Alligator mississippiensis: one gene and its partners. The protein of the gene in region 4 purifies or fractionates together with the protein of the main gene of each other region. This does not show direct contact. Links are inferred from orthologs where the notes say so. Each region holds a gene or a part of one and is shown on either strand. Other genes may lie near its edges. The genes, in order: POLR2K, MED12L, MED9 and MED19.

The links.
Region 1: the proteins of MED19 (region 4) and POLR2K purify together in Homo sapiens (affinity purification with mass spectrometry; 3 studies listed by BioGRID and IntAct, with this or other methods). This does not show direct contact. The link is inferred for Alligator mississippiensis from reciprocal best matches to the Homo sapiens genes MED19 and POLR2K.
Region 2: the proteins of MED19 (region 4) and MED12L purify together in Homo sapiens (affinity purification with mass spectrometry; 3 studies listed by BioGRID and IntAct, counting the BioPlex papers as one, with this or other methods). This does not show direct contact. The link is inferred for Alligator mississippiensis from reciprocal best matches to the Homo sapiens genes MED19 and MED12L.
Region 3: the proteins of MED19 (region 4) and MED9 purify together in Homo sapiens (affinity purification with mass spectrometry; 6 studies listed by BioGRID and IntAct, counting the BioPlex papers as one, with this or other methods). This does not show direct contact. The link is inferred for Alligator mississippiensis from reciprocal best matches to the Homo sapiens genes MED19 and MED9.

Annotation. Positions count from the first base shown.
Region 1 is NC_081826.1:38,817,574-38,825,308, forward strand, and holds the start of POLR2K (DNA-directed RNA polymerases I, II, and III subunit RPABC4), read right to left. Parts: upstream 3,001-7,735; 5' UTR 2,899-3,000; intron 2,763-2,898; exon of another isoform or gene 2,662-2,762; intron 1,569-2,661; 5' UTR 1,537-1,568; coding exon 1,476-1,536; intron 1-1,475. UniProt on the Homo sapiens protein: DNA-dependent RNA polymerase catalyzes the transcription of DNA into RNA using the four ribonucleoside triphosphates as substrates.
Region 2 is NC_081830.1:62,144,110-62,151,284, reverse strand, and holds the start of MED12L (mediator of RNA polymerase II transcription subunit 12-like protein), read right to left. Parts: upstream 3,002-7,175; 5' UTR 2,832-3,001; coding exon 2,733-2,831; intron 1-2,732. UniProt on the Homo sapiens protein: May be a component of the Mediator complex, a coactivator involved in the regulated transcription of nearly all RNA polymerase II-dependent genes.
Region 3 is NC_081836.1:54,494,354-54,501,824, forward strand, and holds the start of MED9 (mediator of RNA polymerase II transcription subunit 9), read left to right. Parts: upstream 1-4,453; 5' UTR 4,454-4,468; coding exon 4,469-4,644; intron 4,645-7,471.
Region 4 is NC_081825.1:172,521,253-172,528,713, reverse strand, and holds MED19 (mediator of RNA polymerase II transcription subunit 19), read right to left. Parts: upstream 3,010-7,461; 5' UTR 2,941-3,009; coding exon 2,706-2,940; intron 2,290-2,705; coding exon 2,033-2,289; intron 1,899-2,032; coding exon 1,802-1,898; intron 1,662-1,801; coding exon 1,567-1,661; intron 530-1,566; coding exon 461-529; 3' UTR 131-460; downstream 1-130. Other genes in the region: TMX2 (thioredoxin-related transmembrane protein 2), read left to right, coding at 3,310-3,498, 4,331-4,391, 5,586-5,699, 6,632-6,708. UniProt on the Homo sapiens protein: Component of the Mediator complex, a coactivator involved in the regulated transcription of nearly all RNA polymerase II-dependent genes.

The DNA of each region.
Region 1 (7,735 bases), on a different chromosome or scaffold from region 4:
TGCCTGCAGACTCCAACCTGGACACTTCCCCCACAACCCAACACTCCAGCTGCTGCTGGGGTGGGATCTCCAGTCTCCCATTACTTCTCTAGCTTCTGCTTCCTGCCCCTGCCCCACCTCTGTAGGTGGGGTGAAAAAATAACACTGTCTAAATATTTTTGCTGGAATATACATAAAATTAACAGGATGATATACTATAGGATCTCTCTCATCACCATTTTTAAAAGTTAGAACTATTATAGTTTCATTCCAATACTTCCTAAAATAATACTATTACGTTTTTTGTCAGAATTCCTTGGCAATTTCTGGGGGGGGGGGATTAAGACTGGGGCCCTTTCCATTACTCATTACTATAATTTTACTTGGCATTCAGGCTGCTTGCAGATGTTTTAAAAAAAGACAAAAACAAAACAAAGCATGCAGAAGTAGCAGCACATTACTTCATCCCAGCTCTGCAGCATGGATATAGACTGGGTGCTTCATCAGGTCTTTCTGGCGTTTTTATCTAACATTCAATCAGCTATTAGACAACAGTGCCAAACCCCCCCCACTAAAGCACCCAATCTATAAAGACACTGGGCGAGCTAGGTCCAACTAACGCGTTACCTCTTCTGGACATGCACCGAGCTTGGTGTAGGGACATGAGGAGTTCAAAGTAAAACATTGATTTTTTTTGTATTTCTTTAATGCCTGCAAGCAGCCTCAGAGTCCAGTTAATAATCTGCTTGTATTCACCAGGTAACCATCACTTTCCTCATCAACTGCAAGTTAAATTGTTGAACTTATTTTTTTTAATACAAGTGATGTTCACATACGTTCAGAAAGATAAGCATCAGGAATTAAACTCAATTGTTATAGTTATAACCCCTTGGCTATAACTTTCCAAAAAAGTGGCTATTATTATTATTATTCCCTGCAGTTACAAAGTCCTCCCATAGCCTCATTTGATATTATTTCTTCTTTCTATTAGGGTTTTTAATAATAAATGTAATAATAATAATTTAATAATAAATTATTTTAATCTTCTTCATCTGTTGGAAACTAAATTTATTCTTTTTGGACATGTATTTCTTCAAGGCTTCAATTAATCTTTAGCCTTACAGCAATCCTTATAAAGCCATCTTTTATGCCAACACCTATTCCCTATAAACAGATTATTATAAACACTTAACAAGAAGACCAAAATGTGCAATCTTGTGCCTTGCATCAAGAGAACTAAACAGATGCATCCAGACGAGTGCAGCTGTACAGTATGCAGTGCCACAGACACCACACGCCCCACACTTGCAGGTGTTCCCCTGCCACTGCTGTTTGCCCTTGGGGAAATGCATGTTCCCTCTGGGGGATGCACCACCACTTCCCAAAATGATCCTGGTAAATAGAAAACTATTCAGAGAATGTTAACTTTTTTCAACCAGTAAGGGACTGTTCTTATGTGCATCAGATATTACTGAAACATTTGTTTTCACTCTTACCTCCACAGATATAAATCATTGGCTGCTGCTTTGGTGGCTGAACATCCTTTTGAGAATCCATCCTCTGTCACTAAAAAGCCAAATGTAAGAAACCTGGTTTATCAAAAAAAAAAAAAAAGGGGAGAAAACAGACAGCATAACCTTATTTTCTGTACAGGGAATCTAGACCCTTCCTACTCCACATTTCAGATCATGCACACATGCATCATGGGAGCCAAACGTGTCTATCACCATTTCTACCCAATTAGAAACCAGAACATGGTTTGCTGCCAGTTTTCCAATCCTGTATGAAATCCAGGCTAGCGTGAAGCTATTTTTTTGTAACTGGCTCAAATTGCTGTTTGGTTGGGTTTTTGTCTATCACGGAGCAGGACAACCTTAGGCATCTCGCAGCGATAATGCTGCTCTGTGTACCTCTCCTCCGGATGCTTACTCCCTGCTGAAGCACAAGGCAAAAGCTCTTCTCCCTTTCCACAATGCACCTATACAAATATTGCTAAAAAGCAAAACACCTGCAAACATAACATACCTGGGTCAAACAAGCAGGTCACAAACCACAGGCAATATTGTTGTAGGCCAGGTTTTGCCACTGCAATCTAACCTATAGCTATACTGAAGCTTTTCTCACAATACAATCATGCATCATCACCAGTGTGGGGATCCACGTTTCCAGTCTACCACTCTGACACCCCGATACTCTGAGGGAATGCAGGCAGCGATACCCTAGCATACAGAAGATACGTGAACACAGAAACACCACTCTCTAAAGCAGGGGTGGCCAACCCGTGGCACAGGTGCCACAAGTGGCATGGGCAGCCTCTGTGTGCCAGGCACAGCAGATAGGGCAGGGAGCAGAAAGCAAAGCAACAACTCATGCAGTGAGCAGAGGGAAGGAAGCAGGGCAGCAGAACAAGGGAGCATAGCCTGGAACAGAAAGCAGAGCAGAGGAGGGGGATCAGAGTGGCAACCTGGGGAGGCTGCATGGCAGGCCTGCCAAAAGGTTGACCCTCCCACCCCAGGGAACATTTAACTACACACAGAGCTGGAGTAAGAGTACAGAGCAGCTGGGAAGGGCCGCCAATAGACCAAAAACCCAGGACGTTACAGGACAACAAGGTGCCAACAGGGCCCCCTCCCCCGAACAACCCTCCGCTGGCCGGGGGCAGGCGCCATCTCCAAGACCAACCTTCGGTCACATCCTCCTCAAAGGCGCCCCCTTCCCCACCCCCTGGGCCTTCCCGGCGGTGCCTCTGAGCACGCGGCGGCGCGGGGCAGGGACGAGCCAGTCCTGCCCTGGCAGCCCCACGCGCGGGGAGGGGGAGGCGGGAGGCCTCGGGCGGCGCCACCGCTGCAGCGGGGACGCGGAAGGGCCAGAGCGCAGCAGGCGCCTGCCGCCAAGGAGGGGAGACAGCCCATGCCCTACCTCCGCCGCTGCCCCGTCCTGACAGCGATGAATGAGGCCTCACGGCAGCTTCCGGCCGCTGCCGGGGAGGAGCCACCGCCGCGCCTGCCCGGTCCCCGCGCGGCCGCGTGCTTGCGGAGGGCTCCGGCGCCCCGCTGTCTGCTTCTCCGAGCAGCCCGCCCGGGTCCCGCGGCTCGTGACAGCCAGGCCTTTCTGCGGCCCCGCTTCTGAGAGCCTCGGCTTCCTTCCTTCAATTCGATTTTAAAGTCAGGTTGTAGTACTCCGGGGTGTGGAGAAAGGCTTGGCGCAGGAAACAAGAGCGCCCTAAAGGTCCAGAATGCAACCAGAAAGAGCCCCCACGCGTGTTATTTAATGCGAATCAACAAGTGCAAGTTATTTGGGGGCGGGGGAAGAGAGTAACTAGAAGACTCTTGAGGTCCTTTCCAGCCCACAGATCACTGATGGAGGGGCTGGCTCCTGAGCTTTTTTGGTGTATGGGGTTCTGCAGTAAACTGGTAGAATTATTACTTTCACTGTATGTTTTTAGCAAATTATATACATGTTATTGTTATATATCAACTGTATTGTTCATTTTATTGTACTGCCTTGAAGTAAGCTGTAAATAAGCCATTACTACTGTGGGGGTTCATTATTTGGTACCAGTTGTGCCCATGCCATTGTTATAGTAGTGTTCCTACTACAGTGGGGGGGTTGCAAACTTTTTCTTATTGTGCCCCCGCTTCCAGATTTACCAGCTGCCTGCATAGCTGTACCAGCATGTTTTATATTTTAACCCCTTAAATGCCAATTATAATGAAAATTAAATCTGCCATTACACAATTTCTCCATATCCCCCCTACCCCAGGCTACACATACATACCACAGTCTGGGAATCCCTGCACTAGAGGATTTACCAAGCTTTCAATATTAAAAGCAAAGATCACTGTGCATTTAACCAAGACTGAACCTTTAATTGTTCAAAAGGAAAAAATTGAGCTAAGGAGTTGAGTATCTCAGTTCTCTTTCCTGGGTCCTATACAGTACAATAACATTAATTTTATAAGCATACTAACACAGGCATTCTAGTTTATATAGAAGGATTGGTTTAGGCCACAGAAATGGGGAAATAGCAGTGTAGTTAGAAATTCCCCATAATTTAGTAGTAGAGTTGGAGTGTTATAGACTTGCTGGTATAGGAAATATGTGAGAAACAAAGTTTTTTGGTGATACGTTTTATTGGACTAACTGTATAGTTCAAAAAGATGTTAGACCAGCATTTGGATGCAAAGTGCCCTTCTACAGGGCTTCTCCATTAATTTAGCGAGATACAGTTTCTGAGTGGAAAAAAGAATACAGTGGAACCGATGCGTGTAGGAAAATCTGCATTCATAGAATTTGTATGAATAAATCCCCAACCCAAATGAGCACCTAAGTACCTTTTACAGCAAAGTCATAGAGAAAGCACCTGTGGTGTGATTGCAAGCGCCACGCTATAGACTGGTGATGCTCAACAATGGTGCCTTGGCTGCCTTGAGATCTTTTCAAGGCTGCCACTGTGTGTTAGCGCTGTGAAATGTGCAAATATGATTCACAAGATAAATCCAGAGATTTCAAATAGGAATCCATAGTGTTAAATACATCCTGACCTGTTGTGGGCTTTCTGAATTCACCGCAACAGAAAAGTTGCTTATTATATCCCTCTGGTGGAAAAAACAGTGAAAACTAAGAGCTGACATTTTCTGAGGGGTGCTTTGAGTCTAAGAAAGGGTGCCTTGACTCTAAAAAGGTTAGGAACCAGTCTTGGGGGATGATAACCCTAGGATTCTTTTTGTCAGAGCCCTCCAAGGATTAACGCAGCAGCTCATCCGACGTGGTGTCTAGTGAACTTCAATAGCAATCTCTATTCATAGATTCATAGATGTTAGGGTCGGAAGGGACCTCAGTAGATCATCGAGTCCGACCCCCTGCATAAGCAGGAAAGAGTGCTGGGTCTAGATGACCCCAGCTAGATACTCATCTAACCTCCTCTTGAAGACCCCCAGGGTAGGGGAGAGCACCACCTCCCTTGGGAGCCCGTTCCAGACCTTGGCCACTCGAACTGTGAAGAAGTTCTTCCTAATGTCCAATCTAAATCTGCTCTCTGCTAGCTTGTGGCCATTGTTTCTTGTAACCCCCTGGGGCGCCTTGGTGAATACTTGTTCACCAGTATGGGGTGGGATACCGTATCGAAGGCCTTCCTGAAGTCTAAGTATACGACATCCACCCCTCCTCCTGTGTCCAGGCGTTTCGTAACCTGGTCATAGAAAGAGACTAGATTGGTCAGGCACGATCTGCCCGCCACAAACCCGTGCTGGTTTCCCCTCAGCATAATTTGCCCTGCCGGGCTCTCACAAATGTGAGCCTTGATAATTTTTTCAAAGACTTTACCAAGGATGGAGGTGAGACTGACTGGCCTATAGTTGCCCGGGTCCTCCTTCCTCCCCTTTTTGAAAATGGGGACCACATTAGCCCTTTTCCAGTCCTCTGGGACTTGGCCCGTGCGCCATGAACGTTCGAATATTCCTGCCAGTGGCTCTGCAATGATGTCGGCCAGTGCCTTCAGCACCCTCGGATGGAGCCCATCCGGGCCTGCCGATTTAAAGGCATCCAGTTCTTCCAAATGACTCTGCACCACCTCAGGATCTACGTATGGAAGTCTGGCGCCTTGCTGCTGCCTCTCTACAACCCCAGTGAGAGACTTGTTGTGCCCCTCACTTAGGAACACTGAGGCAAAGAACTCGTTGAGGAGTTCAGCCTTGTCCCCCCTGTCCATCACCAATTGTTTCTGCCCATTTAGCAGGGGTCCTATTCCTCCCTGGGCCTTCCTTTTACTCCCAATATATCTATAAAACAATTTCTTGTTGTCTTTTACTTGGGTTGCCATCCTCAGCTCCATGGTAGCTTTGGCCCGCCTAACTGCCTCCCTACAAGCACGAGCAGAGGAGGTATATTCATCTTTAGTGATCTCACCCTGTTTCCACTTTTTATGTGCTCCCCTTTTGGCCCTTAGGCTGCCCTGGATTTCTGTGGTCAGCCAGGGAAGCCTCCTGGCCCCTTTCCCTCTTTTGCCTTGCTCGGGGATCGTCTTGCTTTGTGCCTGAAGGATCGTTTCCTTAAGGCACAGCCACCCTTCTTGGGCTCCCATCACTTCAAAACTCCTACTCTGCAGTGCTTCCTTGACTAATTGCCTGAGTGCATTGAGATCAGCTTTCCTAAAGTCTAGCACTTTCACCCTACTAGTTACCTTACCCACTCGCCGTCTTATGTTGAATTCTATTATTAGGTGATCACTGTCTCCCAAATGGCTACCGATCTGGAGGTCCCCTATCATGTCATCCCCTGTTGCCAATACCAGATCCAGTATGGCATTCCCCCTAGTGGGACCATGCACCTCCTGTGTCAGGTGGAGGTCCTGTATACAGGTTAGAAACCTGCGTGAGCGATGGGACCTTGCTGTCTGCGTCTCCCATTAGATGTCCGGGTAGTTTAGGTCCCCCATGACTACTGCCTCTTTAGCTTTTATGGTCTCTGAGAGTTGCCTCAGGAGCCCCGCATCTATTTCTTCCCCTTGGTGTGGGGGTCTGTAGCAGACCCCTACCACCAAATCCCTTTCTCCCTGCCCCCCATGTAGCCTAACCCACAATCCTTCTACTTCCTCAACCTCAGATTCTGTCTTGATGAGGGTTGATGTATATTGCTCACTGACATAAAGTGCAACCCCCCCCCCCTTTCTTCCCCGACCTGTCCTTTCTGTACAATCTATAGCCCTCAATATGTACCGCCCAGTCATGGGATGAATCCCACCAGGTCTCTGTTAGCCCCACTAAGTCATAGGTGTAATTATTTATTACAAGTTTCCTCCCTCTAATACGACTTGGTAAGCAGTTTCTTTAGACATTACAACAGCAACCTTCGGGGGTACTGACTTAAGATCCTCTGCTGGGTGTGTGCGCCAATCATTCCACTGGCACTGTGCCAAGCACATTCCTTATAGGGAAACTGTACCTGGTTAGCCCACCGTACCAATCACAGCACTCACTTTTCCCAGTCACTCTGTAAGCACTCTGTAATTTAATTAATTAGTTCTAGAAAGGCCTAAAGTTATGCTAAGAGTCTGAGCATAACTCAGTTTGCCTGCTACAGGGGCCAAACCAGTCCCCAGCAATGGGGCAAGCATGCCAGTACCAGCAGTCTTTGTATTGTTATTCCTAACAGCATGGGGCCCACTGAAGATAAAACACAGAGAGAGATCAAGAAAGCAGTGAACACTGGGCCACTAACATTATTCATTTTGGAAAGAGAAGAGAAAAGCCTTTATTGAACGTAAACTTGCACAATTTTTTTGTAAGTATTTAATTAAAAAACAAACAAACACCAAAGCAGCAATTCTGCTACATATTTAACTACCTGAACTAATCTACATATCCTGAGGAAAACAATCAGATGACTCAGACATTGTCACATGACCAGAGAATTTTAACCCAGAGAGGAGTGGTCTCCTTTGCCTGAACTTTTTTTTATTTTCAGAAGTTCAAGAGTGTATATTCTAGGCCTGATAGAGCTTAAGGTAAATACTTTTTTCTTGTAGGTCTTACTATATGCTCCTATATTCATTAAAACAAAGATACAAAGAAATAATTATGTGTTTTCAGTGCCACGATTGGTTTTGTTATAAAAAAGTTCATTTTTCAACAACGTAAATGTTTACCATATCTGCAGCCATTTAAACTATGGTGAAAAAATACCAATTGCTCTCTCATTCTCAGGCCCAAATATACTTTTACTACAAATGATGTGTACAGAACCCTACAAAATGTGA
Region 2 (7,175 bases), on a different chromosome or scaffold from region 4:
ACAGGTAGGTAAACAACACGCATGGCCTACAGGGTGGAGGGAACAAGAATGATAAGAAATTCAGGGATGCTCACAGGGTTGGTGATAAGCCAGCTTCTATTTCTCTCATTAGTCCAACCCCATCCAAAAACAGCAGTGACCTAAGGGTACCACCTGATGGCCATTTAGGTGACCCATGTGAATTAGCAGGTGGTCCAAGTCTAATTCAGAATGGACATGTGCATGTCTTTGAATCACCATCAAGATTAACGTTAATTGACATGCCTGCTGCCACTCCTACCCAAGGAAGTGCACACGGTGTGCCAGGATAGTCAAGCAATATGGAGAAACTTACAGAGTAGGTGATGCTTTCATTGCTGCTGCTCAAGCTACATCCCCAGGTTATACCATCAACTTTCATAAGCATTTAATTTCACCAAAAAAATAATGTGGGTGAAGAGTGGGAATTGGGAGTGCTAGAGAAACAATACCTCTGTCCACTAAGACCAGAAATAGTAGGAAATGAAAATATATTGCAGCGTGCTGTCATGACGAACCAGGGTGCTGTGAGCCTGATCCAAATTGAAAACAGAGCCAACGGAAAAGTGAAATATGCTCTTTGACTTATTTCAACTTTAGTTTGATCTACACAAAGTGATTTACAAAACCCAGGACACAAAGGGCAGACTTTTATCCAGCCTTCAACTGCCAGAAGAATCGCCTTGAAGGAGAAGTTCTGAACATAAAAGAAATAAGGGTGAGACAGAAAAGTCTGACAATCAATTACTCTGGCTGTCAATATTTCTGCATCCTATATTTTTTTCCTTTTCCCAGAGAAGCATCAACATATTGCCAATCCTGAATTACTCTCTTGGCCCTAAATATAGATATTAACCATAATTCTACATGCATTCATTATGTCACTCAAGAAAAGAGAAACATAGTGACCATAATCAAATATTAGGATAATATTTCAAAGCAAAAAGTGCAAAGCCCCTTCCCCATTGATTAGCTAAAATTTGGAAAAATATTTTTTTCAAAATTCTGAATCCCCTGAGCAATATTTTCCTTTAGAATGAAACGTCACTCAGAGATCATTGCTTAAGAGCTACAAAAATACTTCTAAACATTAAACTCTCACATGAGATGCCCTTTGAACTAAAAATTACTTAGACTAATTTCAACAGCCTCTGCTTTCCATATGAATTACCTGCAAGTATTTGAACATACCAACAAGCACTAAGAGCAAGTTGCAGCCTTGGGGACTGCAATTGTTAATTTTAATTGTAAAACTAGAGAGCAGGTTTTGTTAAAGCTTGCTTTTAAAAGGGGAAAAACACACCCCACCAAACTACTGTAATAGCACAATATAAATCTATACACTTCCCTGAAGTTTTCACCTAAGAAAACCAAAAGAAAAAAAAAACTGCAGGCCTTAAAACTTAATCAGACTTTGTAAAACAAATGTAACTGGAAAAGTATGTACAAACTCTGATTTCCAGGAGCAAGAAGGGAGTGTTAGTTCTTGTTTTGTGAACTAACCTTGTCTCCCCCATAATTCCCATCCTGCTAACAGCAAAGCAGTCATGAGCTAATGTTTGTAGCTGCTTTTTCTAGCAAACTCCACTATATGATCACGTGAGTTATAGCGACTGTTAAAAAGTATATAAGCCTCCTGATTTTGCTCTTGGGAGGGAACACCTTCCAAGTGCTTGGGAAATCCATGTCACTTTGGGGTCCCCCCTACAGCTGCAGTTTCATTTGAATAAAAGCTTCTGCTGACCTGACCCAAAAGTAGGCTGCGTGTGTTTCCACGACAATTCCTGGTGCCGTGACTCGGATCCTGTTATTTTAGTGACCTTGCCTGATTAATGCATAATGATTATCCCTCTTTTCCCCTGTCCTTTTCAGAGTAGAGTTATGTTTTTTGGGGTTTTTTTAAATCTCTCCAAGGACAAATTACTACAATTTGGATGAGGTCACAGCAGCAAAAGGAAAGTCTCACAGGCAAAACGGTTTACAGGTGACTAGCTTTAACCCATAAGGAAAAAAAAAAACCCCTATGATTAGCTAGCAGGTGAGTTTAAAAAAAAATTAAAAAGTCCCATGACAAATTGAACAGAGGGGGAGAATTTTAACAAGCAATTATTTTGCAAATAACGACTTGTTAATTGCAGCCTAGCCTGCCCAGGGAATGCCCCAGTGACCGTACCTGCTGCTGGGACCCCAAGTGCCGGGGCCAGGTACCTCCAACCCCTCCCGGTTTGGGCTCGGCAGCTGACACTGATCCCTGCCTGCCATGCACCTCCCCTGCCTGGAGCACGACAGCCTCCATGAAGACGGAGACGCCGCTGTCAGTTTGAGCACTGCCATCTCTCCCCGTGCTCGGGCCAGGGCGGACGCGAGCAGGGGCGCAGCACAGCCGGGCAGCTGCCCCTCCTCTCCCCGGAGCAGGCAGCGGTCCCGCCGCCCGGGCTCCCAGCGGTCCTGCCCAGCCCCGAGCCCCAGGCTGGCTGCAGAAAATGCAAGTCAGGGGCGGGGGGTGCGTTTCCTCGCAAGCCGACATTTTTCAAAAGTTTAAAAGGATTCAGCTCGGGGAGCGGCGGGAGGGGAAGGGGCTGCGCGAGGCCCAGGCGGCAGCCGGCAGCACTTGCACTCGGGGCTGGCGGGCAGGCGCCTTCCCCCGGCCCCGCGGCGCGCCCACCCGCCCGCCCGGCCAGCGCCTGCCCCTGCGCGCCGGGGCCCGGCCTCACCTCCTTCTGCTTGGGGTCCTGGGGGTAGACGTCGGGCGGTCCCAGCCGGGGTCGTTTCAGAGGTCTCTGCTCATAGCTGAGAAGCCCGAAGGCGGCCATGATCTCTCATGTTAGCCGGCAAAATGAATGAGTTGGAGACGGAGCAGGCTCTGAGCACCAGGGAGCAGCACTTGGCAGACAGGCTCCCTCTCTCCGGCTGCCTCTCTCTCTCCTACGGGGGAGACAGACGCAGGTTGGAGGCTGCCGTCTCCCCGCACGCGCGCAGAGCCCCCATCCCCGCGCCGGGACAGCGCCACGGCCCCCGCAGCCTCCCGCCTCCGCCGCCCTGCGGGCTCTGCCGGGCCAGGACAAGTGCCAAGCAGGGGGAGGCTGGTCACAGCCGAGCCACTCAGCATCACGTCCTACTACTCCTACAGAAGTGCCCTGCCTTTCCCTCCAGTCCCCATAGGAGGGGTGCTGCTAAGTCGCCTGCTTGCTGCACAAACGCGGAGCAGGAGCCTTGCTCCCCTGAGAGGGGTTTCAACTCAACCGGGGTCAAATTAGTCCCGACATGGAGAGGGAAGGTATCTCCCCCGGCCAAGGATGGGGCACATGGGCTGATTGCAGCAAATTGCCTAAGCCTGGGGGTCAGGCCCAGGCAAAACTTTTTTGAAGAGATTAAAACTGTGGTGCTGGGATTTTTGAAGGACGAGAGCTCCTCCGCCCTTCGGAAGTTAAACACTTAATATCCGAAGTGCTTCTGCCTCAGCAGCTACCCCAAGGAGAGTCCTGCAGAGTAAGGCTCCTCCGACTGGGACAGGAGATGAGCGCAGCTGAGGCTTGCCAGACAAGCAGGTGGGATCTGCAGGAGCTCTAGCTGCAGCCATACAAGTGGCTGCCTCCCACTGCTTCCCAACCAAGCCAGGATCTCCAAGCACCTCCACTAGAACTAAAACTAGCAGCTCTTCAAAATGTAGGCAACTCATAGTGGCTCAGCTCCTGTGTTTGGTGGGTGCATTTAGGTGAGGTGATAAAAAGTCATAGCTAACAGCTAGGGATAATACCTAGGGGGTTTTTTTCCATCACTAGAGCTCAAAAAAACTCTGCAACTGATTTAAGCAATGCTAACTCCATTCCATAGATGGGAAAAGTGAGACACGAGGCATTGAAGCAACTAGACTCTGATAAGCATGCAGATAAATCAGGACTGGAACCCGTGTCTTGTAAGGACTCCATCCACTAAGCCACACTGACTTCCCACCTGTGCCTTTGCAGGTTCTCCTCTGCCCCTTATTTTGAGGAATGTTACTTGGCCCCAAAACTATATAATTTAGTGTGGTGTCCCTCCACTTTCACTGTGTTGTAGTCTAGTTATCTCCAAAATAATTTCAAATCTGAGATTTTGAGAGGAAAGAACCCCACACCATCTTAAATTTCTTGGATGGATGGATTTTTGCATAGTCCTATTTCAGGTCTTCGTCTTTCATATTGCATCCTATATCTGGACCATGACAGGCTACTGCATCGGCTCTTCTAGGCAGGTGTGTTTTAAAGAACTGAAGAGAGGCCAGCAGCTTTCAGTCCTCTCCTCTGGCACTGTACATTGTAGGTGCTGGAAAAAAGCCCACAGTTGTTGCATGGCAGATCTGCCTCCCTGAAGGGGAAATTAAGTGAAGGATAAAGGGGGCACAGGGCAGAAGCTCCTCAGCTGTTGTGCATGGTCCCCTTCCTTTGTTTCTGTCACATGACACTGGTAAACAACTACCACAAGACTCATTAAGTCACCTGGCCATTCATTAGTATAAGTAAAATGGTATTTTCCCTGTCTCATTCTCTGTCTTGAATCTGTAGCTCTCACTCCTACCTTCCCTCACCAGTATAGTTTTAAAGAAGTGGCACAACACATCTACACAGTTCCTTCCTCTTCCATGGTATTCTATATAAATAAAGCTCAGAAAGTATTACTAAATTGATAAACAAATTGTAGACCTAGACAGGCCAGACTTAGTTATTTTCTAGCCTTGAGGAAGATCTTGTCCATTTGATTTAGCTGGATTATTAAATCCCAAAGGTATGACTCCTGTCCAAGAGTAGTGATTCTTTTCAGCAGAATTTTTCCTTTCACTACAGCTGTAGAGTACATTGCAGTTGTTCACTTGTCAGAGAATGAAACCTTGACTCAAAATGTATTCCCACACAGAGATCATAGAGATAACAATAAAAAACGGAATTGCATCTGTTTAATTTCCCAGGACAAAGCACATTGTGGGCCAAAAATTGAAGTCCTTACTACAATAACTATGGTCAGAGTCAATGGAGTTTTGCTTGAGTGGGAACTGCAAGATTTGTACCTGTAGAAATAGCAAACAATTGTAGTTTACTGTATTAAATGCCACAATAGACAAGTGTAATTTTTTCCCTGCAATTAGTGGGGAGCCTGAGTGTGTTGAGGTGATCAGACAGGATTGGACTGTCACTTTACATGGAGTGTGAAGGAAGGTGCAGTGAACAGTTGCACTTGAGGGGCAAACTAGACGACAAACTGGGAATCAAGGGATCTCTGTTATTCCACCTCTTTTCAGGAAACCTTTCTATTTCCATGGGGCATTCAGCTAACACCTATGCCTCACAAGTGACGAGAAGGTTATGAAGCCAAAACATCTCTCAACTAGCTATCCAGTAGCATACAGGGTAGAAGAATAGGCCTGGTAACTCCCACCCTCTTCCTCATGGCTGGCATCACGTTCTGGTGAAGGCCAACAGGAATAATAAGGGAAATCTTCCTCCCATTCTTACCAGCCCTTCCATTCTTCTGCCTGAGTTGGACCTGAAACAACCAGGACGAGAGCCAGTCCCATTCTGATGATGAAAAGAACGGCCATCCAACTGGCCATGGCTCCTACACAGCCAACGCTCCCCCCACTGCTGCTGCAGCAGCAGTAGCACCCAGGGTCCCCATCCCTCCCCCAGTTTCCCTTTCCTACCCCCATCCCTTTCCTACCCTCAGGCAGCACAGTAGGATGAGCCTGGGCTGCCTGCACCACATGTCTGGTAGGGAAGAAGCTGACAATGCTGTGCACATGGCAAGGAAAAGAGCCAAGGAGCTGTGAACATCGCACATGTGGCAGAGGAAGGAGCCAGGCTGCCTGCATGGGAGGCAGGAGGATAGGATGAGGCTACTTGTGTGGCAGGAGGGAGCTACGTTGTCCACACAGTGTGCCTAGTGGGTGAGGGGAGAAGTGATTCCGTACACATGGGGGGGGGTGCCTGCATGGCAAGCAGCCCACAAAGCTGTGGCCCTCAGATCTGTGGACCATACTTTAGCCCTTGGCAGTCCAGAAGCTGGACAGCCCTGATGTAAAGGACTACAGACAGACCATGTGCAACATGGACATCTCGTGGGAGGATCGCTCAGCAAAATCTGAGCGGTCGCAGAGCTTCCTCTCGTGCGTGGATGACCTCTACCTGACTCAAGAAGTCTATGGGCCAACGAGAGGCAAAGCACTGCTCGACCTGGTACTGGCTACTGGGGATGACCTAGCTGGCGACCGAGCGATCAATGGGAAGCTGGGTGACAGCGACCACGAGCTGATCACCTTCACCATCCGCCGAAAGCTGGCAAGTCAGTCAGCAACACGCAAGTCCTTGACTTCAGGAAAGCCGACTTTGACAAGCTCAGGAGGCTTGTCAGTGAGGTCCTAAGGGACTGTGACCACAGGGAGAGGGGAGTTCAAGAAGAGTGGTTGCTCCTCAAGAGAGCGATCCTCAATGCACAAACTAAGTCTATTCCATCTCGGAGGAAAGGCAGCAAGAGGGCACAGCAGCCCCCCTGGCTCTCCAGGGACCTAGCAGACCTCCTGAGGCTAAAAAGAAAGGCCTACAAAGGATGGAGGATGGGAGTCACCTGCAAGGAGGATTATTCTGCGCTGGTCCGGTCCTGTAGGGAGCAGACCAGGAAAGCCAAGGCTGCAACTGAACTCCAGCTAGCTTTGAGCATCAAGGACAATAAAAAGTCCTTTTTCAGATATGTGGGGAGCCGGAGGAAAAGCAGGGGCAACGTTGGACCCCTGCTGAACCAGATGGGGCAACTGACAACTGACGCCCAGGAAAAAGCCAACCTATTAAATAGGTACTTTGCGTCAGTCTTTCATCAGCCCCATGGGACGCCCATGCCCACTACGGGACAGGGAAGTCCGGGTGAGGGTGATCCCCTGCCCTCCATTAATGCTGACTTCGTGAAGGAACATCTTGAGAAGCTGGATACCTTCAAGTCAGCCGGCCCTGACAATCTTCACCCCAGGGTACTCAAGGAGCTGGCGAGCATCATAGCCCAGCCTCTAGCGCGGATCTTTGAAAACTCTTGGTGCTCTGGTGTAGTGCCCGAAGACTGGAAGAAGGCCAATGTGGTGCCTATCTTCAAGAAAGGGAGGAAAGTGGATCCGGCTAACTATAGGCCCATCAGCC
Region 3 (7,471 bases), on a different chromosome or scaffold from region 4:
CTCTCTTCTTTATCTTTCCCTACAGAAACCCAGGTTGGAAGGAACCTGCAGGGCCAACTCCCTGTGAAGATGCAAGGGATTTCCTAACCTTGTTCTGTTCCTAACCCCAACAGACAGGTGCCAACCTAGTATCCTCTTAAGAGCCTCCAGTGAAGGAGATGCCAAAGCGTCCCCAGGCAGCTTGTCCCATTGTCTGGCTGATCTTGCAGTCAGGAGGTTTGTCCTCAGATCTGATCTCATTTAAAGCACTGCCCCGGGGCCTGGCCTCTGCAGCTGTGGGGCACTGTGGAGCAACCTGCACTACTTTGCTCTCACACCCGTGGCAGCCCGTGGTTGTTTCTCAGTGTGCATTACAAAGTCGTCTGGGTCACACCACCTCCTCCCTGCATGGCTCAGCCATCCCTGTCCCGCTGCCTCCTTGGAGAAAAACCTGCTATGCAGTTCCCAGCACACCTGTGGGCTGCACAGTCCTTAACATGCATGCTCCAGGGGTCCCTGAATGCGACATGTGTCCTCCATGCCACAGCATGGGTGTCTTGGATGACTGGCTCTGTACTCACCCATGGGCAGAAATTGCTTGTGTGCCTAGCATGCTCTGAGTCCCCAGCATAGCACCTATGGCACACGTGGCAGAAGGGATTTGCATTGAAGTACAAGAGTTCGTGGATGCTCGTGTAACATGTTCTCATTGGAAGGATTTCAATTTGACAAGGAGAGCTGCTGTAGTGTTTTGGAAGGCTCTGGCTGGCCGGCCCCTGCTGTTTTCATGCCTGTTAAACATTAAACCAAAGTTATTTCTTTATGATCCTGGCTATGAAAGACCTCTGAAAGAGCGCGGAGCTTCTCGTGTTCTCCTGAGACCAAACCCTGGGGGGCTGGGGATACTCTACTCCCCCCTCCCCCATGCATTCTTGCAGCCGGCCATCCAAAAGCAGCTCTCTGAAGGACTGAGCTTCCAGGTCTATAAAGTGAGTTGTCAGCCTGGTTTATCACTGTGAACTGGGAAGTACCGGGTACATGAACCCGCTGAATTCTTGGGAAATGACTTCAGTGATGGATTACTCAGTTCCCTTTGACAACCTGGTCTCTGGACCCATTTCCCTCTCCTGGTTTAGAAGCTCTCTTTCTAGTCTGATCCAGGTGCCATGTAGACATACAAGGGGGAAAACATCACAGACTTGCAAAATGAAGAAGCATGAGATAGGAAGGGTCCAACTCCCGCAGGGGACTGTAAGACTTTAAAAGCTCTGTGAACTTTTACTTCTTTATTATCCCTGCCTTTTCATGGCTGCCCCTTAGGGAAACTGGGGACAGAAATACCAAAATACCATCAGGATAGTGGGTAAGACGGGTATTTCTAGTCCCATCAGAAGCTGGGGATATCAGAAACCACATGAAAATGCCTGCTGTAGGGGCATTACGAACTGTGAGTAACAGTCTCCAGAAACCCAAGCCTGTTCCATTCAAAGTCAGCAAGAGTTTTATCATGGACTTAAATGGAAGCAGGATCAGCCCCAGAATCCAGAAAAACGTCTGGAAGACGAACGCTGAGTAAATGAATGCCATATCTGCATTTTTTTAGGCTTAGGCCAGCACCACAGATGAATGATCTCTAAACATAGCCCAATAAGATAACAAACAGGATGATTCTGGGGCAGCGAGACAAGATAAAGTTCAACATGATGATGGGCATATAATAAAAGTCATCATGGCATTGATGTGGGCAGCCAAAGCAAGCCAGCGAGGGTAGGCAACGAAAGTGGGGCAAGCCACAAAAGGAATTGACTGATGATGAATTAAAAGACTAATGGCAAATCCAAAGACAAAGCAAGCTCTGAAACTAGGTCTCATTTGGAGGCGAGGGGGAGCAATTTATAATGGCACGACAGAAAGAGAAGTCATATTAATAATGTAAAAGGAAATAAAAGGGGTAATCATGGAGGAGGCTAAAGATAAGGATTATTTGGTCAGCTGGTCTTGGGGAAAATAGGTTAACTAACCCTTTGGCAGAGAAATTAGTTTGTTTGATGGTTATAAGATGTGAAGGATCAGGCAGCTTTGAGACATTTTAAAGTCTCGGGACTTGGAGGATGGCAAACAAAGTTATATGGAGAAAAACCGTGGCATCGTCAACTGCATGTCAATGCCATTAGCACAACCAGGGTGCAGTGACCTTCTGCAATCCACCCCGCTGCAATCTCTTGCCTGGGCTGAAGGCAGGGTAGAAATACATCTTAGGACTAACTAAATTTGAGACGCATGAGCTGCTATGAGCTGTTATAACTTTGCTAGCCAAGCCCTTTGCTAGTATTGTTGCTAGCTCCCGTTTTTTTTGTTGATGAACCAAAAGCATCTGCAAAGCTCTGGGCGGAGGGATGCAGGAGCCCACATGCCAAGTTTAGTCCCCAAACTGTCTTGTGCTTAGGCAGGTTGTGTGAGCTGCTGACCTGCTGTCCGACCCGGAGCTGGAGAGACCACTGAAGGCAGCTAAAATAGCAGTTTAGCCCCTATGGTCCTTTCAACCTCCCATCGAACTGGCTGCTCAGTGAAGCCTAGCCCTGGAGATGCTTTGTGGTCCATGTCCCATATCCGATCTTTCCCCTGAGACATCCAGCCCCACCGTTCATGGCACATTGTAGCCAGACAAAACTTCTGCCAGCTGATGGTTCATCCAGGAAGGGGCCCAGAGGGCACAAGTCAACCGCAGTAGGGACAGGAGTGAATGTCAAGGCCTTACAGAGGTCTGAGCTGAGACCTATGGAGTAGCTGGTGTTACCCCCCTGTAGGGAAGTCAGTGGGACTCAAGACCAAGACCAGCCAGTGAGACCAAACGGCTGCATCTCTCTGAGCTCGGCACAGGGAGACCCCACAGCACGGAGACCTCCACGTCTGCACAGGGTTTCTGAGATGAGTCCTAAAGGAGAAAGCGCAGAGGGTAATTCAAACTGCACAAATAGATCAAAAGCCCTGTGCTCCTTAATTAAATTGGGGGGTTGTGTATGTGCACATCATCAAATGCTCCATTGATTGTCTGACTATGCGTTTATCAAAACTGAGCTATCAACTTTCTTAATATAGCTTCTTTGCCATTAGCTACAGGGCTCAGGAAAACAAGCACTAGATTCAAAGCACTGCAGTACCCAGGACAACACGCCCAGATGCCACCCTCTGAAATTCAGCGTGGCCCTTTGAAATACCCCGAAATGAGGTCACCAAACTACTTCTCAAATGCAAGGAAACAGATATAGCCATCGTTTGTTTTCCAGCCAGCATCAAAAGTCCCTTAGTTTAGCCGCTTGATTTAAAAAATGCAAAGGAGCACTGGGATTGTGTTGGTGAAAGGAGCCTAGCATGGCCAAACTCTTGCTGGATGAGTGCCTAAACACCTGAGAACATCCGGGTCTCGAGGCCGCCCCGCCCCGTCCCATCCCATCCCGCAAAGCCCTTAAGCCACCTCGGTGGACTCAAGGTGCCTCTTGGAAAATGCCAGCTCTCAGCTTTCACTTGGTTTTTTGTCTCTGGAAAAATAACAGAGCAATTCTTCTGTTGCAAAGAACTCAGACTATTTCTGGCACTTGGGATTCCTATTTGAAATGTCTGGGTTTATCTTGTGAACCACTTGCAGGTTGTCGATGCCTCTCCCACCCAAAGTTTAAAACCATCTCCCTGGCTGTGGCAGTCTGGGCTGCGGGAGTCGCTCGACTTCAGGCTCGCTCTCATCTACCAGATCCCTGCTAAACTCTTCATTTGACCCTCTCTTCTTTGGATGATTTTGATGTCCAGCCAATCAAGGCAGCCTTTGTTCTGCAATCCTGCAGCTTGTTAGCTGTTCCTGGGCAGGGAGCTCCTATTTCACAGCTGTGCCCATCGTTTTAAACCCATTCCAGTGAAGTGACATGTTTTTGCTTGACTCTTGAACTGAACAGCACAGCCCTGGGGCCCTAGAAAAATGAGTAAAGCTTCTGTGGACGTTGCGCAACCCCCCTGCAAGGATGGCGCACCCCCAGTTGAGAGCCAGAGAGCTGCTCTGGCGGAGCACTGGGCTCACACGAGCTCAGGGGTCCGACAAAGCCCCGCTCCCTGCCCAGACATGGATGGGCACTGCTGGGGTGCAGCCCCCATTCCCAGGCCCAGGCCCCCGCTCCCGCAGCAGCTTGGCTGGGCGCCTCCTGCAGAGCTGCCCGCGCGGCTGCACCGAGCCCGGGGGGAGGGGGGGGCTCTGCAATGCAGTGCGCTGCACGGCGCCCCCGCGATGCAAAGATGCGTGCACTGCACGGCTGCGCCAAGCCCTGGGGGCTCTGCAGGGCGAGGACGCATTTGCAGCAAGGCGCGCCGAGGCCCTGCAGTGCAGTGTAGTGCAGTGCCGTGCCGCGCAGAGCTGCGCCCGCCCCCGGCTGACGCGCAATAGCGGGGCCGGCGCACACACGTGCATTGGCGGCGCCGCGCGGGGCGGGGAGGGGGGGCCGCCATGGCGAGCGGGGCGGCCGCGCGGCCCGCGGAGGAGCCCCCGGCCCCGGCGCCGCCGCCCGCCGAGCCCCCGCCTGAGCAGAAGCCCGCGCTGCCGCTCCCGGCCCCGGCGCCGCCGCCGCCCCCGGGCCGCGAGGAGTTCTCCTTCCTGCCGCTCGTGCACGGCGTCATCAAGTGGTAATCGCCCTCCCGCCGGGCACGGGGGGGGGCTCCCCCGCCAGATGTGCACCCCTCCCGCTCTGCATTGGGGCACCCGGGCCAGCTGTGCACCCCTCCCGCTGTGCACCAGGGCACCCTTCCAGCTGTGCACCCCTCCCGCTGTGCACCCCTCCCGCTGTGCACCCCTCCCGCTGTGCACCAGGGCACCCTTCCAGCTGTGCACCCCTCCCGCTGTGCACCCCTCCCGCTGTGCACCAGGGCACCCTTCCAGCTGTGCACCCCTCCCGCTGTGCACCCCTCCCGCTGTGCACCAGGGCATCCTTCCAGCTGTGCACCCCTCCCGCTGTGCACCAGGGCACCCTTCCAGCTGTGCACCCCTCCCGCTGTGCACCCCTCCCGCTGTGCACCAGGGCACCCTTCCAGCTGTGCACCCCTCCCGCTGTGCACCAGGGCACCCTTCCAGCTGTGCACCCCTCCCGCTGTGCACCCCTCCCGCTGTGCACCAGGGCACCCTTCCAGCTGTGCACCCCTCCCGCTGTGCACCCCTCCCGCTGTGCACCAGGGCACCCTTCCAGCTGTGCACCCCTCCCGCTGTGCACCAGGGCACCCTTCCAGCTGTGCACCCCTCCCGCTGTGCACCCCTCCCACTGTGCACCAGGGCACCCTTCCAGCTGTGCACCCCTCCCGCTGTGCACCAGGGCACCCTTCCAGCTGTGCACCCTTCCAGCTGTGCACCCCTTCCGCTGTGCACTGGGGCTCCAGTCCTCATCCCTCCCCTAGAGTGACCCCGGGGATCACCCCAGTGCCCCTTTCCAGCAGGATGTGTTCGGGGCGGGCAGGGGGCACCGTGCCACCCCAGGTCACAGCCCTGGCTCGGCTGGGCACCTCCCTCCGGTGAAGAGACAGCTCGGCCCCCCTTGATATCCCAGCCTTCGTGGCCTGGAGAGCGGGCTGGCCTCTGTGGCCGTCCAGTGGGGTGGCCTGCTACGACCTCCAGTCCTCCAGGGCCAGCACTGGCTCCCAGTAGCTTTCCAGGCACGATTCAAGATGCTGGTTTGGACCAACACAGCCTGGGCCCGACGTAGCAAAGGGGCCGCGGTCTCCCTTGCACCCCAGCGTGGTCTCCGAGGTCAGCCAAGAGCAACCTCCTGGCACCGTGGGGGCTGAGCTCTGCATCTCCTCCCCTCCGGGCCTGCCCAAGCCCGAGCCCGAGCCGGGGCATCTGGTGGAAATGATGCGGGACCATTTTTAATGGGGCAGCTGTTAGCAGGAAAGGGTTGAATCTTGGGGCAAATACAGCTTATTCTGTTACTTGTCTGAATGTTTTCATAAGCTGCCTTGTCTGTTGGTGTAAGCCCTCCTGAGCCGTTCCCTGCGATGGTGGTATATAAATGAAGTGGTTCCAAGGGATCCCTTCACCCTCCAAGGTGCAGAGAGATCACTAGTGATCTCCTTAATATCCCTGCCTGGAGATCACTCAGGATTTCCCTTGCTCTCCCTCCTGGCCTACCCTCCCTTGCACGGGGACCTGGAGGACTTGGCTGCCCGCAGAGGCGATCTGATCCAGTCCATCCGCGTGTCCCGATGGCTCCAGGCTCCAGGGTCTGTGCCCCAAGCCTCAGCTCACAGCTTGGCTGGTACACGGCCCGTGAAGCCGTATCTGGAGGCTCCCTGGCTGACCTGTGTTCGTCGAGGGGGGCCGTCCAGGCCATTCTCCGTGGCTCTGTGAAGGGGCCATTGTCCCATCTCACAGGTGACGTAGAACAAGGAAATTGCAGGGCCGAATGGGAGGTGGACTCATTCCTGGAAAGGTGAGCGAGGTATATTCCTGATGCATTCATTTCCCCAGGTCTTTTTGCCCCATTAGCCAGAAGAGATGGCTAATGGGGCAAACCTTGATCTCATCGGGTCCCGGTCCAGATTTTCAGGGAAAGCATGTGGCAAGCTGGCAGATCCCCCACCTGACTCATGCCGAGAAACAGGCCTGGTTTCATCACAATTGGGTGCTTAGGTCAGGCCTGTTCTCTGGCTGAACCAGGCCTGATCACTGCACCCGTTGTCCTCGGCCGCGTTCCTTTGCATTTACGTTGCCTGCAATTGTTCCAGTGGAGAGCAGGCTCCAGAAAGCACAGACAGTCCCAGCTCAGGAATGCGTCCCTGGGGCCCGGGCTGGTACAGACGGACGAGGACGGGGTCATGGCTGGGGTCGGGCTCCCTTCTCTCGGACTCCAGAGCGGTGTATAGATGCAGGCTTTGGCCCCGAGGGTCCTTGTTACTCTTGGATGGTGGCTGGCCCTGGCATCCTCCTTGCAGTGCAGCCTGTGGGTGTTCACGCCTGGCTGGGCAGCCCTGGCACAGAAGTTGTGCATGTAGACACAGAGCAGGGAGTACCGAGGGCAGCATTGCCAGCTCTCGAACGCAGCCCCACTCAGGTGCTTTACACCGGTGTCAGCGGGGACCTGTGTACTCCCCATGCAATACATCATGGGCCTGATCTTCCCTTACGTGATCGCTTCTTCCCACCCTTCCTGCAGCACAAAGGAGCCCTAATATGGCCAGGTAGGGGGCTGGTGTGTAAAAGAGTCGCGCCCTCTTGGTTTCGTGCTGACGGGCAGCTTGGCCTCAGACACGTCGCACAGGTAGAGAGTCCCAGCCCCAAAGACTTTACAGTCTGAAGGCAGCACAGGGCAGAGCCTTACTTGCTCGCAGTCTGGACATTGTGGGACAAGGGTGCTCCAGGCTGGCTCTCGCAGAGCAGGGGACGCTGTTTGCCATCACGTGGCAAAGGACCGGAGACGGGCATGGGAGAAGGAATCAAATTAAGGGTCATCTTTGCCCTCCCTGC
Region 4 (7,461 bases):
TGCTCCACTGCAGGGTTCCCTAGCAGTCTCAGCCAGGCAGGTGTGTTGCCTGACCCTGCTGACATCTCCTAGTCCTGCAGATCAGATAACAGCAGCATGGCTCAGACCACTGTCAGACATGGCCCTCAGCCTCTTCCCAAGCAGAGATTTAATTAAAACAGGAATAAAAAGGAGAAAGCACCTGACTTAGTCAGGAGTATTTAAAAAAAAAAGGAAAAAGTTGGGCCTGGCTCTGGGTCAGGGCAGCAGGTTGTGTACCATCTCCATTTCAGTCCATGTTCCCAGCCGGCTTGTGTCTGGACAGTCTGTGCCCCCAGGCAAGGCAGCCCAAGTGCCCTCCAATAAGCCGCTTTGGGAGAAGAGTTCAGTCAGTGTTGCCTCCAGGACTGTTCTCCCAGTCACCCACATCTGCAGCAGGCATCTTCCCAGAGCCACTTTAGCACTGGGGTCGTGCTTGCCCTCACCGGAGGCTGCTGCTGCTGCTGGCTTGCGAGCTCCCCACTCCTGGGTGCTCTGGGCTGTGACGGTTCTAGGAAGAACAGACAAGACACAGACACCCTTCCCTGAGAATCCACAGTGAGACTGTACAGGTTACCAGTGGACTATGATAGCTTAGCCCTGAAGCTGGAGGAAGATTTTTTTCCTTTAAAAACAAACAGTCATAATTTCATAGTTGGTAGGGTCAGAAGGGACCCAAGCAGTCTTCTCATTAAAAACTGGGATTATAACTCCAGTTCTCCCCATGAAGTTCACTTTCATGGAAAACATTTGAGGGTTGGGGAGGGAGATGTTTAAAAATGCTGCTACAGGGCCCTATAGGAGACCATGGAAGTACAGCCCATGTTCCTATCCTCCTATAAGACCTCTGGTAACACTACAATTTCCAGGATGCACTACTGCTTCCTCACAGCAGGAGACCAGGGTGCATGGAAAATAAAGAATAAAATGGAAATATGAGGCAGCCAGAACTACCAATTCTTCTCTCCACCACTGCCCACAGCTGTATTTTCTAATTCAGTTTGTTGGGTTTTTGTGCTTCCATTTGTGCAGAGGAATGAGGAAGGGGAAGGAGCTTATTTTCAGCCAGATCCAGATGGGAAACACTGTTTCTTGCTGGAGCCTCCTCAGCCTTTAAGTCAGACCCCTACAAAGGGGCTTTATGCCAGGACGGAGACTCCCGAGCAAAACAGGTCACAGGGAAGGGGCTAGACTAACTGTCCCCAACATTTTTAGGCTCAAGGCACCCTTCCACAACTGCAAATTGAGCAACACCTCTTTCCAAAAGCCAACGTGTTTATTTTAGTGGCTTGCAAAGAAAGAGGAGCAGCTGGCAGTGAGTGTCGGGGCAGGAGCAAAAGAAGGCAGAGAAGTAGTTAGAAGAGCTCATACTCATCTCCTCTCTCCCAGTGGCACCCTGTGAAAGGTTGTCACAACATCCTGGTTGAGAATCACTAGGCTAGACAGATTTGCAGCTCTGTCCCACCCCAGCACGGCAAGCACAGCTGGGCACGGACATGTGGAGTGGAGCCAGTGCACCCCCAGCCCCTCTCTTAGTTTGCCACTCACCTTTTTTTTCTTCTTCTCTTTCTTCTTCCTCTTCCGCTCTGGATCCTCCTCCTTTTTCTTCTTCTTCTTCTTGTGGTCAGAGTCTGAAGGGGTTTCTGCAAGAAGAGCCACAGTTTGAGGTTTGACAGGCTAGTTACCTGTCCAGGCAGGGCCTGACCTTTTCAGAAGACAACTGGGGTGGATGGGCTGCTGCTTTCTCACACAGGCAGGTGGGGTTGTGAGCTGCAGCCCTTACCTGGGGGCACAGGATCCTGAGTGCGGCTTTGCTTGTGTTTGTGTTTGTTTTTCTTCTTGGGTGGCTGGATGTGCATCAGGCGGCACTGCTCTGGCAACTGAGGAGACACCAGGACCGGGTCAGCTCGGGGAGTTCCCGCTCCCACGGGGCGGGGCAAGACAAGCCCACATCGCTCTCCCAGCCCTGCTCCCCGGCCACATGCCCACCCCTGCCCAGGGTAGGGCGGCTCACCGGGCCAGCGTGCAGGCGGAAGCCCGTGAGCATGGTGCCAGTAAGGGGGGTGAAGGAGCTGCTGCAGATGGGTGGCTTCTCGATGAGGGAGCGCAGGCTGCTGTTGTCGTGGGAGCCAGGCAGGTCGATCATACCCGGCAGGTCGGGCAGGAAGTTGCTCAGCTTCTCCTTCACCTTCTTGCCACAGAACTTGTTGTAGGCGTGCTCCAGGTTGTAGTGCGTGATCAGGTTGGTGCTGCCCGTCAGCTCCGTGTTGCCTGTGGGCCGAGGGTGCCCGTCGCAGCCGAGGCGAGGCCTGACCGGCCCATGCCACCCACCACAGGCAGGCGGCGGCCGCCGCCGGGGGGAACCGGCAACAGACCCGAGTCCGTAGGAACCGCCCCCTCCCAAGGAAGGACCCCAGTGCCGCGGCGGCCTTTCATCGGGTAAGAGGCTGTTTCCCCACCCACACGCCCTCCTCCTCGGTCACTGGCTGTCAGTCACAAAAAATACAGAACGCCCGCCCTCTCCCTCACGCAAGGAGCGCCCCGCCCCGTGGACGAAACCGCCGCTAGATGCGGTGATAGGCCGGCCGGCCTGCCCAGCCAACCATCGGAGCACCCGGATTGGCTGCTGCGCCTCAGCCCGCCTGACGGCCCCGGATTGGCTACCTGCCGCGAGCCCCGCCCTCTACCTGGGAGCTCGCGCATCAGATAGAAGGGGCCACTGGAGGCCGCGGTCTTGCGAGAGTGGTCTTCTCCGCTTTGCGGCGCCGCGGCGGTGGGGGGAGGCGCGCTCCCGGGCCCTGCTGGCTTCCCCGGCCCGAAGCCCAGCGCGGCGGCCGCAGCGGGAGGCTGCGGCTCAGCTCCGCCGAAGAGCGCCGAGAAATTCTCCATCATCCCAGCCTGCCCTGCGCGGTCTCCTCCCATTGGCCTAGCGGCTTGGGGTTCTGCCCATTGGAGTGGTGGGAGGCCCCGTACCCCTCCCTGACTGGATAAAAACTGCCCAAGCTCCGCCTCGCGCCTGCTCGCTGGATGAGCCTGCGCCCTGCCCATCGCGTGGGGCGTGTCGCTGCGCTCGGCTCCACCCCCTGCTGGGGTCCTACTGGTGCTTCTCCGGCGCGTTTTGATGGCGCCACCCGTGGCCCAGCACCCGATTCGCCCCCTGACAGCGAAGTCCCGCCGCCCCGAGCCCGCGCTACCCAATAGGAGGAGGGATGGCAGGTGACTGGCGGCGGCGCTGGCCAATGCGTGGCTCAGTGCCCCGCCCCGCCCCCCGGCGCCCCAGCGGAGGTGAAGATGGCGGTGGTGGCGCCGCTGCTGGCGCTGTTGTGCTCCGTGCCTGGCCTGTGCCGCTGGCTGGCTCGGCCCTACTATCTGCTCTCGGCGCTGCTCTCCACCGCCTTCCTGCTGGCTCGCAAGGTGCCGCCGCTATGCCAGGGGCTGCCCACGCAGCGCGAGGACGGCAACGCCTGCGACTTCGACTGGGTGCGTGCGGGGCGCGGGCAGGCCCCGCTCAGCCCGGGCCGTGCCGTGCCGTGCCGCGCCTCGCGGCGGGGTGTCCGCCTTGCCCCGGAGCAGACCGGGGCTGCGGGCGGCTGCGTGCCACAATGGGGCAGGTGCCGGCGGGCTGAGACCTGCACGCCAGATAAGGCCGGAGCCAGGTGTGATCGCTGCCTCCAGTGGACGCCGGTGGCATGTGCTGCTGGCACCAGGTCGTGTGCGTGTCAGCCTGTGCTGGGTCCCTCCAGGCGGAGCTTGTCCCGGTTGATGCTTGCGGCTGGCCCCCTTTTCCGTGCAGGGCGGTCTGCCCAGGACCCCTGGGTTGCATTGGTTCAGCCTGATGCCCCTCCTTCCTCCTCTCCCTTCACCTGGGATGGTTCAGCCTAGGAAAGCGATTCCCAATCTGTGGTACAGGTACCACCAGTGGTATGCAGCCAACCTGTCCATGGCACCTGTTACCAGATTTATTATCATTGCTTTGTAGGACAGAAATCTGCCGGTGGTACTGAAATTTGCTGGGGGTACTTAAGGTTGTATCATTTTAAATTGGTGGCATGCAATCTGTCAGTTTGGGAACTGCTGGCCTAGATGCCTACAGTCCTGTGCTGTACTGGTTCACACCAGAACTCCCCTCCATCCTGTGCGAGTGCTCTCTGCATGTCGTATATCCTGTGCTGTGTTAGTTTGGCCCAGTACACCACCTCCGTGCCCTCCACAGGTGCCCCCAGGCCTGTGCTCTGTTGGTTCATCCCTGCATTTGCCCCCAGCCCCCTGCTGCCATGTCCCAGCCCCATGCTCACTCCACAGTCTCTTTCAGCGGGAGGTGGAGATCCTGATGTTCCTCAGTGCCATTGTGATGATGAAGAACCGCAGATCCAGTGAGTGTCTCCTGTTTCCCTCCTTGCAGCTCCTCTTCCTGGGGCAGGAGCCTCCTTGGCATGGGGCTGACTCCCTGTGCTGCCCTTGGGGTGGGCGATTTCCTCTGGATGCCTGTGGGATGGCTGGGTCTCCACTTCATGCCCCCAGGACTGGTCTGTGGAACTGCTTGGGGAAGGAGGGCGGGCAGGCCCAGAGCATGTGGTCAGAGGGCACAGGAGAAGTTGTGGAGGAATTGTGTGGGGGGGGGGGGTCAGTTTGTGGTAGGGATGTGAAAGGTTAAATGATTAATTGTTTAACCAATAAGCCCAGTGATAACTAATTGGCTTACTGGTTATTGTTTAGCACAGGGCCGGGTACAATCTGGCAGGGAAGGGAAGCTTCCACTGCCCCAGCAGGAAGGGCAGGTGAGGGGAACTAGTATCCTTAGCCCATGAGGCTAACCAGAAAAACAGCAGGTAGTCTAATAACTCAACTCGTCAATTAAGCAATTACCTCTTCCTTCACAGGGGACTTCATGTGGGTTATTCATAGATTCGTAGATGTTAGGATCGGAAGGGACCTCAGTAGATCATCGAGTCCGACCCCCTGCATAAGCAGGAAAGAGTGCTGGGTCTAGATGACCCCAGCTAGATACTCATCTAACCTCCTCTTGAAGACCCCCAGGGTAGGGGACAGCACCACCTCCCTTGGGAGCCCGTTGTCTAGCTGTGGGCACAGCTCCCAGCAGCAGTTGTGTTACAATTGTTATGTTATCGATTAACCCAGGGGCAGGCAATTATCTTGGGCGTAGGGCTGCTTGCTGAGTTTGGGCAAGCTATTGATGGCTGCATGACAGGAAGCTGGGGCAGATAAATATTAATTTTCTAAATTTTTTAGGGACCCCATGGGCCAGATAGAATGGCCTGGCAGGCCGCATTTTGCCCACCCCTGTGTTAACCATTTAACCAATATAATTAGAGAAGGTTAAATGGATAGGGTTTTTTGTTTGTTTTGTTTTAAAGGATGTTTATATCCCTAAACTATGGGGTGAGGTTTAGGGAGGTGATGGGACAATAAATATTGGGTCTGAATGGAAAGGAACTTGGCTAATGGGTGCAATACTACTGTTTCTCCTTCAAGCTTCTTGGCTTTCTGGTATCCAGGGATGAGTGCCTGGCCCTCCTGCTGACCCCTGCCTTTCTGTCTCCCCCCAGTCACCATCGAGCAGCACATAGGGAACATCTTCATGTTCAGCAAAGTGGCCAATGCAATCCTCTTCTTCCGGCTGGACATCCGCATGGGGCTGCTGTACCTCACGCTGTGCATAGGTGAGACCCAGGTCCCATTGGGGCTTCTGAAATGCCTTCTTTGAGAGAAGTCTGAACTGTGGCCTCTGGACAAAGTCCCTCTGCCTGTCAGCCCATTCCTTGGTTGTTGCTGTGGTGGCTGGTTCAGTAGGGCTGGGCTGTCCCAGGGATGCAGATGGGATGGGGAGTTAAAATGTCTGGGTCCAGCTCCCGGCCATTATGGGGCTGTCCTGCCTCTCCTCTCTGCAGGGGCAGAGAGGGCATGTGACAGCATTGCTTTAGGTTTAAGTGTCATCCGTGATCCATCTTTGGACCAAACATCATCCTCTTGATGAAGTCTTCCCGCTTTTATTCTGTCTGCATTGGAGCAGTGGCTGCCCCAGAGGGCATCCACTCCTTCCATATCAGCCCTTTGCCCCTATCAGTGGACTTGCTTGCTAATATTGTCTGAATTATAGTGGCACCAACTGGCTCCAGCCCAAGATAGTGCCTATTGCACCAGGCACTGCACATGCAGCATAACCGCTGCCAGCCTGCCCATTATGCAGAATTCAGGACGTAGGGTGGCAGCTCTTTCTGGTGCATAGCAAAGTGGCTAGGACTTGGGACCTCTTTTCTTCTGTTCCTTGCTGTGCCACTGTCCCTGCTTGGTGAGCTTGGGCACAGCTCCTCCACCATCTGTGCCTCAGTTTCCCTATCATGAAATGTGTTTTGATTCCAGTTGATGTTAAGTGCCAGGTGGAGGTGCTGCCACTTGGCTCAAAAGCAGGATGCTTTTAAACCAGCCTCACCAGGGTTGGCTGCTGCCACTTCCCCAATTCGTGCTCCAGTATGACAGGTCCAGCACCCTCCAGCTTTGAACAGTGCAAAGACTGAGCAAATTGCTCCTGGGGTGGAGGCTTGTACAGAGTTGGCCCATTCATGATGTGTATGCCATGTGTATGCCTTTCTAGTGTTTCTGATGACCTGCAAGCCCCCCCTCTACATGGGCCCTGAGTACATCAAGTATTTCAGTGACAAAACCATTGATGTGAGTATTTCCTGCTTCCCTGCCTCCCCCTGTTCTCCAAGCCATGAAGTGCGTATAGGCTGGGTTGGCTTGCAGTAGATCTGTACTGCTGTTTAGAGGGTCACCGTTATCTACCCCTACCACATAAGTTGTTCGTCTCTGTTTACATTGCTTTGTCATATACACGCCAAGCACAAAAGGAGAGACGGGTAGTGGGCAGCATGCCAGTGGAGCTCTTCTAGGAATTGCCTGTCCACCACCTGTCTCTCCTGTGCTTGGCTATGATGATAGGCAGTAAAGCTAGGAAGTAACACACAGAACATCTGGAAGCTGGGTGCTAGCAGACAAGATCCTGCAATACTGTGGTGAATGCTTTGGGGGATGGGAGCCATGCTTAGGAGAGCTTCTAGGGGTCAACAGGCCTGCTGCCAAGGATGAGTTTAAGGGTGTTTAACTGTAGGGTGCATTGGCAACACATAGGGGGTGCACACAGGTGCACAAGGACCCCCTATCTAGGCGGTGCAGCCCCTGTGAAAGGCGCTGCCAACACTGCCGGTGCCACCTGTGGGCAGTTGCTGCTTTCTCCTCCCCTCCCATCGACACTGCCAGTGGCATCTGCAGATGGTCCCTGATCGCCGCTGGCTGCCACTGATGCTGCCAGTGCTGCCTGTGGGTGGTTGCCGACCATGGTCGGCGCTTGCCCACCCCCTTGCCGCTGACAGTGCCACAGCTGCCTGCGGGAGCTCACCGCCTACTGCTACCACACTCCCACTG